Linked DNA regions of Rattus norvegicus. The protein of the gene in region 1 purifies or fractionates together with the protein of each later gene. This does not show direct contact. Links are inferred from orthologs where the notes say so. Each region holds a gene or a part of one and is shown in the gene's direction. Other genes may lie near its edges.

What was found. The genes of interacting proteins can lie anywhere in the genome.
Region 2: the proteins of Ap1m1 (region 1) and Atg9a purify together in Homo sapiens (affinity purification with western blotting, with the first as the bait; 3 studies listed by BioGRID). This does not show direct contact. The link is inferred for Rattus norvegicus from reciprocal best matches to the Homo sapiens genes AP1M1 and ATG9A.

The regions. Positions count from the first base shown.
Region 1 is NC_086034.1:17,629,155-17,634,530, reverse strand, and holds part of Ap1m1 (AP-1 complex subunit mu-1), read left to right. Parts: intron 1-3,159; coding exon 3,160-3,316; intron 3,317-5,376. UniProt on the Homo sapiens protein: Subunit of clathrin-associated adaptor protein complex 1 that plays a role in protein sorting in the trans-Golgi network (TGN) and endosomes.
Region 2 is NC_086027.1:84,129,184-84,134,559, reverse strand, and holds part of Atg9a (autophagy-related protein 9A), read left to right. Parts: intron 1-192; coding exon 193-257; intron 258-1,661; coding exon 1,662-1,823; intron 1,824-1,958; coding exon 1,959-2,100; intron 2,101-2,647; coding exon 2,648-3,396; intron 3,397-3,476; coding exon 3,477-3,630; intron 3,631-3,732; coding exon 3,733-3,912; intron 3,913-4,268; coding exon 4,269-4,517; intron 4,518-4,703; coding exon 4,704-4,882; intron 4,883-4,989; coding exon 4,990-5,107; intron 5,108-5,376. UniProt on the Homo sapiens protein: Phospholipid scramblase involved in autophagy by mediating autophagosomal membrane expansion. Cycles between the preautophagosomal structure/phagophore assembly site (PAS) and the cytoplasmic vesicle pool and supplies membrane for the growing autophagosome.

The DNA.
Region 1 (5,376 bases):
AGCAAGTACCCATCCTGGGCTGAAGCTGGAGGGCTAGATTTACATGTGGATCTCTGCAGCTGAGCTGTGTGATCATAGACAAGCACCTTGGCCTGTCTTAGCTTTGCCTTCCTAATGGATCTGGAGTCTCCTGAGTTACTGAGTGTAGATGTGGGACAAGCCTTGCCCTGGAAAGGCCCACAGAACGTGGTACTTGGGCTCCACAGGCCTCTTGGCCTAGCAGGAAACACTTGAACCAGCAGCCAAACAGTTGTTGGCCTTCTGTTTGGCATTCAGAGAAGGTTACAAAAGACTTCCAGGCAGAGCAGACACCTGATGTGGTTCTGAGAAGGTGACAGATGTCCCAGTTGGCATGTAGGGTGTAAAGGTTGCCCATAGACTGTTCTGGGACCTTGGGGGCCCAATGGGAGGAGGCTCCACGGCCACCGAAGTTCCAGGGAGGAGTCCCCAGGATGGGGTTTGATCAGACCTGCCTCTGGAAAGCTTCTCAGGGAGGCTGTAGACTTCCCTTCCAGTACAGCAGTTCTTGGTGAGCACAGGCAAACACACAGTAAGTGGGAGTAAGGATGTCTTGGAGATCCTAGCCCTGATCTCTGTGCTGTGTTACCTCAGGCAGGCAGCTCCACCTCTCTGGGCACTGTAGTCTGTAAAACTAACCAGCCAACCATATAAGAGGTAGCAAGAGGAATAAAAGTGGGCAAGTGGGAGTCCCTCAGCTGAGGTAAGGAGCATCAGACCCAAAAGCTTACCCCTTGTGTGCTGTGTCTGCACAAGGCCCAAAAAGAACTCAGAAGGAAGCGTCCTCACTGCACTCTCCCAGCTAGAAGCAGCAGAGACCGTGCTTTCTGAGGAGCAAATGCAGCAGCAGGTGGTGCCAGTCTAGCGTGGCAGCTCAGGAGAACTGCAGCACTGCCACATGGCCAACCAGCCATGCTGACAGCAGGCAGCGTGACAAGACAGGCACTGTCACCAAGTAACCAGGACCTCCTCAACCCTCACCCACAGCTTCCTCATGGCCCCTTCCTGCAGCCATTTCCTCAGGGTAATTCCAAGGAGCAATTCCTGTTTGGTTCCTTTCACTATGCACAGTGACTCTGAGGGTAGAGCCTACCTGGGCGTCCTCATGTCCTGCAGCTCAGAGTCCCATGTCCTGCGTTCACATTCTTATCTGCCCTCAGCTGACCACGAATGGTTTTGTGTTTTTTTTTTGTTTTTTTTTTTTTTTTTTTACTAAGTGTGTGGGGAGGCGAGAGGGATACGGGTATGTGCGAACGTGTGCAGGCGTCCCTGGAGGCCAGAAGTAAACATCAGATCCCCTACAGCTAGAGTTACGAGCACTTGTGAGCTACCCAATGTGGAAGCTGGGAACTGAACCTGGGTCCTCTGAAAGAATAGCAGTGCATGGGGTTGGGGATTTAGCTCAGTGGTAGAGCATTTGCCTAGCAAGCCAAGGCCCTGGGTTCGGTCCCCAGCTCTGGAAAAAAAAGAATAGCAGTGCACTTAAGTAACGAGCCATTTCCCAACTCCTGGGATTTATTTATTTGCTTATTTGGTTTTATATACATACATAGTGTGTATCTGTATATGTATGCATATATGTGTGTGTGTGTGTGTGTGTGTGTATGCACATACACACACATAATTTTTATTTTATGGTTGTTAGTATTTGACTGCATGTGTGAGGGTGTCAGAAGCCCTGGAACTGGAGTCGTGGATAGGCGTGCACTTCTATGTGATTCTGGGGATTCTGCAAGAGCAGCCAGTGTTCTTCATTGCTAAGCCATCTCTCCACCTCCTGTTTGTTTTTTGAGACAGGTTTCTCTGTGTAGCCCTGGCTGTCCTGGAACTTGATCTGTAGACCAGGCTGGCCTCAAACTCAGGGATCCACCAGCCTCTGCCTCCTGGGTGCTGCGATTAAAGGCCTGCACTGTCATTCCCAGCAAACCTAGGATTTTTTAAAAAGACAGGGTCTCACTGTGTTCAGTCTGAAACTTACTATGTAAACTTCCTTACCTCTGCTTCCAAGTGCTAGGATTAGAGGTGTCATACCATGCTTGACAAAGTATTTTTAGCAGGGAAACAGTTTGCTATATAAGTGTGAAGAACTGAGTACAGATTCCTAGGACCCACATAATACCAGGAGGGTATGGCAGCCCGTGATCCCAGGAGCCTGCTGGCTAGCTAGATCATCTGAGGTGGCAGCACAAAGAGAGAGGGGTCGGGGAGAGGGAAAGGTGTTGCATTTGAACTGGGTTTGGTATCTCATGCCTATAACCTAACCACTCTGGAGGCAGAAGGACTGCCGTGAGTTTGAGGCTAGCCTGGGCTACATAGTGAAATCATCACGACAAAGCAAAAGCCTCAGGAATGTTTTTTGTCAGAGCAGGCTGTCCTTAGATACCACAGCACTGTATTGGAGGGCCCTCAGATTCTGGAATCCTGGGGTCCTGGAACAGCCAGATTCTCCATACATCTGTTGCAAGACAAGTCCTTTTGTCTCTGGTGTGGCTCTATTTAAGATTCAGCCACTGGGGTGTTCATTTATGTGGACTGGCTCATACCTGTCATCCCAGCACTCAGGAGGTAGCAGCAGGAGAAACAGGAATTCAAGGCTATCCTTGGCTACATAGTGGATTTGAGATGTGCCGAGGCTCCTTGAACCCACTCCCGGCTTCATTCTCCGTTGAGTGCCCATGGACACACAGCTTCTCTGATTCTCTAGGATGAGCCACTGGGTCATACTTAACTCTGGTGTCACTTTCTGAGGAGCCACCAACTTTGGCTATTTCACAGGATGATGGACAGTGGTTCAGACACCATGCAAGGAGGAAGACCAGGGCAGGGCTATTCCTGTACAGGCTTCAGTGGGATCCCATGAACTTGGACTCCTCTGGGATCAGGTGCTCAGGAGAGCCAAGTGTGCCAGCACAGCAAAGACACTGAGAGGGTCTGCATGGAGTGCTCATAGGGCAAGGCTTGGCCCAGTGTCTGAGGGGATCAGTCCCTCCTTTCTCCACCTTCTGCTGAAGGAAGAGCCTTGTGGTGGGACTTCATAGGGTGAAAATCAGACTAGCCTCAAGTTGTGTCCCTTCACAGATGGTCCCCACCCCTACCTCAGACCCTCAGAGGAAGCCACCCCTTCTTTCCTTCCTAATGCAGGTGCTCATCTGCAGGAACTACCGTGGGGATGTGGACATGTCAGAGGTGGAGCACTTCATGCCCATTCTGATGGAGAAGGAGGAGGAGGGCATGCTGTCACCTATCTTGGCCCATGGTGGCGTTCGTTTCATGTGGATTAAGCACAACAACCTGTACCGTATCCCTATGCTGTGGAGTCAGGCCTTGGGGATGACACGCCTGCCCACCAGCACAGAAGAGCTGGGCAGCCAGAGGACACAGGCCTCACACAGAGGACACAGGGAATGCTAAGTATTCCAGAAGCTGCAGCTGTGGGAGGAGGGGAGAGACACAGGGCAAGAGTGGGAGCCAACTGGGCCTGAAGTTGTCCTCTGGAGATGTGTCATGTTAAATGGGGTAGGTCTTTGGATGGGGTGGACTGGCTATAGGTGGCCTTGTGGTCTAGAGATTTCTGGCTGCTGTGTATGGCCACACTGTCAGGAGCAGGAGTGGACAAATGAGGGGAACAGGGTAGGAGTAGGGGTGGGAAGATCTCATGTGCCCTACATCCTCAGCCCTGCTTCAGCCTCAAATCAAGTGTGATGCCAGGTGGAGACCCACCGTGGCTGCACCCACCACTTTGGGCTTTGAGCAGACCTCTGGAGATCTGGCTGTGCAGGAGCTCTTCAGCTGCCAGTCCCCTCGTCAGTAAATGTGTGCATGCGTGTAACCCCTACAGGCACAGATGCCACCTCTTCCCAGGGACATGGTCTTCCCTTGCAGTTCCTGCCCTGCTCTCCCTCCCAGGCATAGGGTTTTTTCCCTGATGTATATTAGCATTTGTGAACTCCCTTGTAGAGTGGGCCTAAAGTCCAATAGAAAGGTGTTGGTGTCACCCATGATATCTGTGCCAGTAGTGCACATGTGGTGTTTGAGCACACTGGGTCCATAGCTGAGCAGGAGTGTTGATAACTGTTCATCAACAGCCCTCACAGCCCTTTCTGGCACTAGGAAAGCCAACCAGCAGGGTGGGAGTTTCCATTTGGTTCCAACTTAATTTCCCCATGTTCTGCAGTCCAAGTGCAGTGTCTTCAACAATAGGCTCTTACCATCCGGTTCTGCTGTACAACAGCAGCAGCGGCCTGCATGGCTCATGGAGCTTCAGGGTGTCCTGCAGCACCTCCCAGGAGATAGTCTGCCCATGGCACAGGGACTTCACCCAATAACCTGATGACCTCCGCGAGTGTCCTTCTCCATCCATGTAGGGTACCAGTTGGATTTAAACTCTTTACCTGTTTAAACAACATTTTGTTTTTTACTTTTTAAAGGCATCATTTGTAGACATATTTTACCTGCATGTTTGCAGGCCAGAAGAAGGCATTGGATCCCCTGGAACTAGAGTTAAAGCCAGTGATGAGCCACCATGTGGGTGCTGGGGATTGAACTTGGGTCTTCTGGAAGAGCAACCTATGCTCTTTACCACTGAGCCATCTCTGTAGCCCTCCACTTTTCCTTTCAATTATTCAAGCCTCAGCTGGGCTGTAAGGTAGGTAGAAGTGCCATTACACCTGGTCGTCTTCATGTTAGTGAAGTGACTGCTATCACTATTATCTCCATGGATGTCCACACATAACGCCTAGCTGGCTGAGACCTTGGTGGTGGCTTCCCCTGCTGCTCACTTGCATGAAATGCTTGTAGCTGTGCTGTGTTTGCACTGGTGAGAGAGAGTTTCTCATGTCTTTCTGATGTCGTACTAAATCTACAGATTGATTTTATGTATGTGTCCATTTGTTCAGGCCATAATTAGTGTTAGGAGAACACGCAAAACTGCAGACTGCGTCACAGCAGAGCCAGCAGCCTTAACAATTTTCTAACCTGTGTTGGCTTCCCTATGACCAGACTTTATATGGACCCAGTGGGCAGCTTCCAAGGATACCTGAAAGGAAATGGCCCATCCTTGGGTCTACTGTGGGCTCCCTATTTGGAGTGAATAGACATGTATAGCATTCTCCTCAGAAGGGCTTTGTCGGCTTCCTTCGATAGCTCAGTTGGTAGAGCAGAGGACTGTAGGGGCTTTGTCACCAACAGAAAGAAGAGAGGCCTGGCCCTGGCTGCTTCTCCACCTAGCTGGGCTCTCCTAGTCTTGCTCCTAAATGCAGCATCCAGAAGCTACCCCTTAAACCTTACACTTTCTGTCACCAAGGCTCCTCTGAATGCTTACCACATGTCCCTGGCCTGGCTCAGACTTGGGGCTTAGTC
Region 2 (5,376 bases), on another chromosome or scaffold:
AGACCCAATAACCCTAAAAGGAGGGTATGTCTGTTATCAATTTGCCACTGTGGGCAAAGCTGAGGGAAGTAACCTGTTAAAGATCACACTCCAGAGAGTTATGGAGCCAGGACTTCAGCTTGAGAGTGTGTAGACATCAACGTCTATATTAAGTGTCTTTGCTTACTGGCCACTTTTTCTTAACACTTACACGTTTATAATCTACATCAGAAGAATGGGTTCACATGTATGCTCATTGGAGAGATTTTTGAACTCATGTAAGTATACGAAGGGATGCATGCTATAGTAAAAGAATAAATATAGTAAATATTCTTGTCTTCCCTTTTGCTCATGCCTGGCTACACGTGCAACTGCAACACAATCCTAGGCCCCAAACTCTACAAACCTTTCTATCTCAGGACCAGGTATAACTTTTTTTTTAAAGATTTATTTATTATTTAATGTATATGCGTACACTGTAGCTATCTTCAGACACACCAGAAGAGGGCATCAGTCCCACTATAGATGGTTGTGAGCCATCATGTGGTTGCTGGGAATTGAACTCAAGTCCTGTGGAAGAGCATTCAGTGTTCTTAACCTCTGAGCCATCTCTCCAGCCCCAGGTATAACATTTAAACCTATAGCCTTGCCTCTTGTAAGAAGAGCTTCCCAGTTTCTATCTCTCACATAGCAAGAACTTACAACTTAGTCACTTCACTAAGCTATAGGAGGAGGTGTGTGTGTGTGTGTGTGTGTGTGTGTGTGTGTGTGTGTGTGTTTTAGTCAGGAGCTCTTGGAGCCTGTATGCTGCCTGACTGCACATTAGCCATGCTGCTGGAGTGGGGAGAGAGAGTCTGGTGTTGCCAGAGGGGAGGATTTGGGGTTTGTTTGTTTGTTTGTTTTTGTTGTTGTTTCATGGTTTTGTTTGTTTTTATTTCTGTTTGGGTTTTTCAGACAGGATTTCTCCAGGTAACCCTGGAGGCTGTCCTAGAACTACCTTTGTAGGTCAGCATGACCTTAAACTCAAAGACATCCACCTGCCTGAGTGCTGGAATTAAAAACATGGGTCCCCACACCCAGCAGAAAAGGAGTTCTTGATGATAAGAAAGGAATTCATGGCTGGGTGTGCTGATGCACACCTCTAATCCCAGCACCGGGGAGGCAGAGGCAGGTAGATCTTTGTGAGTTCAAGGCCAGCCTGGTTAGATCAAGTGAGTTCCCGGACAGCCGGAGGTACACAGAGAAACCCTGTCCAGAAAAACAAAACCAACCAAAGAAACAAAAGATTGCTAAAAGTTTGGGCAATTGAGATGGCTCAGCAGAATAAGGCACTTGTGTGTATCCTGTTGACATGAGTTGGATCCCCAGTCAAAGACTAAAGACCATCATCATCAAACCTCTGAAAATCAAGTCCAGTGGCGGTGGTGGCAGCGGCGGCAGCATTCTATCACACACAATGAAGCAGGCTGCTTCTGAAGTACCTGAACCTAAGAGTAAAACATAGGAGCAAGTTGTGCCATTAAGGTCTTATGAGATTAAGCAGTAGCAGAGGCCATTGGGAACACTCCAGCCCCTTTAATTTCCTCTCTTGTTGAGCACTCGCTAGCCTCTCTGCTCACTGCACTTTATTTCACCAGCACCTCCCTGACTCACGGCCTGCATCCCTCCTTCCCCACTCCCAGGCAGTTCCTCTTTGTGGTTGCCTTCACCACCTTCCTGGTTAGCTGTGTGGACTATGACATCCTATTTGCCAACAAGATGGTGAACCACAGTCTGCATCCTACCGAGCCTGTCAAGGTCACTCTGCCAGATGCCTTTTTGCCTGCCCAAGTTTGCAGTGCCAGGTGAGGATGGTCCTGAGACCCTGCTAATGAGTAGAGGGGAGAGTGGGGTGCGAAGCAGCAACTCACACGCCAGAACGTGTTGCTAAGACTCCATCCTCAAGGACCCTACTTTTGCCCCATCTTTTTCCATACCAGGATTCAGGAAAACGGCTCCCTCATCACCATCCTGGTCATCGCTGGTGTCTTCTGGATCCACCGGCTTATCAAGTTTATCTATAACATTTGCTGCTATTGGGAGATCCACTCCTTCTACCTACATGCTCTGCGGATCCCAATGGTAAGACCGGAAGTTGGACCATTAGCCACACAGCCCAAGAGATCTTAGCAAGGATGCATTCCTGAGCATTACGTGTCTGTAGCTCTCACTGGCAGGTGTCATAATCAGGGTTCTGTTAATATGAAAAAAATGTCTGAGACGATCAGCGTTCTAAAGAGAAAGGTTGATTTTGCCTCCGTTTTGGAGATATTAGTCTATCGTTGGTTGATAATATTGGTTGATTCAGTTGCTGAGGGGCCTGTGCTGAGGGAGTATATCATGGCAAGAGCACATGACAGAGGAAGCCTATTCACTTCATGGCAACCAGGAAGTAGAGAGGAATGCAGGAAGGGGTGGGATCTAAAGCCCCAATTAATCTCGTCTAAGAGCAGCCCCTTATTGGCAAAGGACCAAGCCCTTAACACATGAGCCTTTGAGGGGCATTCCAGGTCTGAACTGGAGCAGGTCAGGAAATAGCTCTAAACACACGACTTACATCTTACATCTGTGTTGAACAACGGGTTCAGCTAACACCTCTGCTCTGTCTCTTGTCCACGCCGTCCTGCAGTCTGCCCTTCCGTATTGCACGTGGCAGGAAGTGCAGGCCCGGATTGTGCAGACCCAGAAAGAGCATCAGATCTGCATCCACAAGCGTGAGCTGACAGAGTTGGACATCTACCATCGCATCCTCCGTTTCCAGAACTACATGGTGGCACTGGTGAACAAATCCCTCTTGCCTCTGCGCTTCCGTCTGCCCGGCCTCGGAGAGGTTGTCTTCTTCACCCGTGGCCTCAAGTACAACTTTGAGCTCATCCTCTTCTGGGGACCCGGCTCTCTGTTTCTCAATGAATGGAGCCTCAAGGCCGAGTACAAACGTGGAGGGCAACGGCTAGAGCTGGCCCAGCGTCTCAGCAACCGCATCCTGTGGATTGGCATCGCCAACTTCCTGCTCTGTCCCCTCATCCTCATCTGGCAGATCCTCTATGCCTTCTTCAGCTATGCCGAGGTGCTGAAGAGAGAGCCGGGAGCCCTGGGAGCGCGTTGCTGGTCACTCTATGGCCGTTGCTACCTCCGCCACTTCAATGAGCTAGAACACGAGCTGCAGTCCCGCCTCAACCGAGGATACAAGCCCGCCTCCAAGTACATGAATTGCTTCTTGTCACCGCTACTGACTCTGCTGGCCAAGAATGGTGCCTTCTTCGCGGGCTCTATCCTGGCCGTGCTTATTGCTCTCACGATCTACGATGAAGATGTGTTGGCTGTGGAGCATGTCCTCACCACTGTCACCCTACTGGGAGTCACGGTGACTGTGTGCAGGTGTGCCAGGGCGGTGCGGGGACTAGCAGAGCGGCCTTCTGGGAAGGGCTCGTGTCTCACCATGCACCTGATCCCACTAGGTCTTTCATCCCAGACCAGCACATGGTGTTCTGCCCTGAGCAGCTGCTCCGAGTGATCCTTGCCCACATCCACTACATGCCTGACCACTGGCAGGGTAATGCCCACCGCTCGCAGACCCGGGACGAGTTTGCCCAGCTCTTCCAGTACAAGGCAGTGAGTGGAGTTGGAGTTAGGGCCTGCTAGAGACTGACTGGTATCTTGGTGACAAGGGCTGGACTGTGTCCTGCTTGTGAGTAACCTGTCCCTCCCTTTCAGGTGTTCATCTTGGAGGAGTTGCTGAGTCCCATTGTTACACCCCTCATTCTCATCTTCTGCCTACGCCCACGGGCCCTGGAGATCATAGACTTCTTCCGAAACTTTACTGTGGAGGTCGTCGGTGTGGGGGACACCTGCTCCTTTGCGCAGATGGACGTTCGCCAGCACGGTCATCCTCAGGTACTGGGAGAGGTCAGGGCAGATGGCCAGGAACAAGGCTGGCACACAGTAAGCTTCGGGAAAACTGCAAATGGCTACCCTTTCCGAGCCGACAGATGACAAAAAGTGTAGCTCGCCTGTGGGCATCCCCGCACCAGGGACACGCGGTTTGGTGACCAGGAATCTGGCTGGATTCCGTCCCTGGTTTGAACCATGAGCCACACTCCCTTAGTATAGTACTAGCGACTGACCTGTATATGGCCACTCTTGGGATGGGCATCAGGGCTTTGACAGATGTGACAATGCCCTGCTGTCTCTGTCCCCTGGAAGGGCTCCTGTAAGCAGTCAGGCCTGCTCACGTCTTCTCCCTTACGCAGTGGCTGTCTGGAGGGCAGACTGAGGCCTCAGTGTACCAGCAAGCCGAGGATGGGAAGACCGAGTTGTCACTCATGCACTTTGCCATCACCAATCCTGGCTGGCAGCCCCCTCGTGAGAGCACAGCCTTCCTGGGCTTCCTCAAGGAGCAGGTGCAGCGAGATGGAGCGGCTGCTGGCCTTGCCCAGGGTGGTCTGCTCCCAGAGAATGCCCTTTTCACATCCATCCAGTCCTTACAGTCTGAGTCTGAGGTGTGTATCTGGGGCCTGGGTGATGATGGGCAGTGGATTGTGGTTAGAGGAATGGCACGGGGCACAGGGTGCAAGATTTTTCCCTGTTCAATCTGGGCTGTTGGGTCCTGAGGCTTAGGACATTGGAGGACCTAGAGGCCTCTCCCTCTCCTGAGAATTCTGCATAACCCCATTTTTTCCCCATAGCCACTGAGCCTCATTGCAAATGTGGTAGCAGGCTCGTCCTGCCGAGGACCCCCACTGTCCAGAGACCTGCAGGGTTCCAGGCACAGGGCTGATGTTGCTTCTGCCCTTAGATCCTTCTCCCCTCTACAGCCTGGACAGGCCCCTCAAGGCCGTGTTCCCAGTACCATGACAGGCTCTGGGTGAGTGGAAGTGGGTCACGATGGGAGGGCGTGGCAGGAGCCCACAAAAACTGGTATAGATCTTGAAAGTGCTGATACCTGTTGTCTTTCTGTGCCGGGAGGGACAGAGTGGACGCCAGGACAGCCAGCTCCGGGAGCAGCGTGTGGGAAGGACAGCTGCAAAGCCTGGTGCTGTCTGAATATGCGTCCACTGAGATGAGCCTTCATGCCCTCTATATGCACCAGGTGAGTGGGCAGCCCCAAAGCAGTAGATTCTAGGCCTTCTCTGCCTCTACATTTTCACAGAAGTCATTTAGTGGGGAAGCCGGGGTTAAGACAGTTTCTCTGTATAACAGCCCTGGATTGTCTGGAACTCACTCTATAGAACAGGCTGGCTTTGAACTCACAGAAATCCACCTGCCTCAGCCTCCTGAGTGCTGGCATTAAAGGCACACACCACCATACCTGGCTGTCACATATGTCCTCGCTTGTGTTCCCTACCCTGTTCTCTTCCT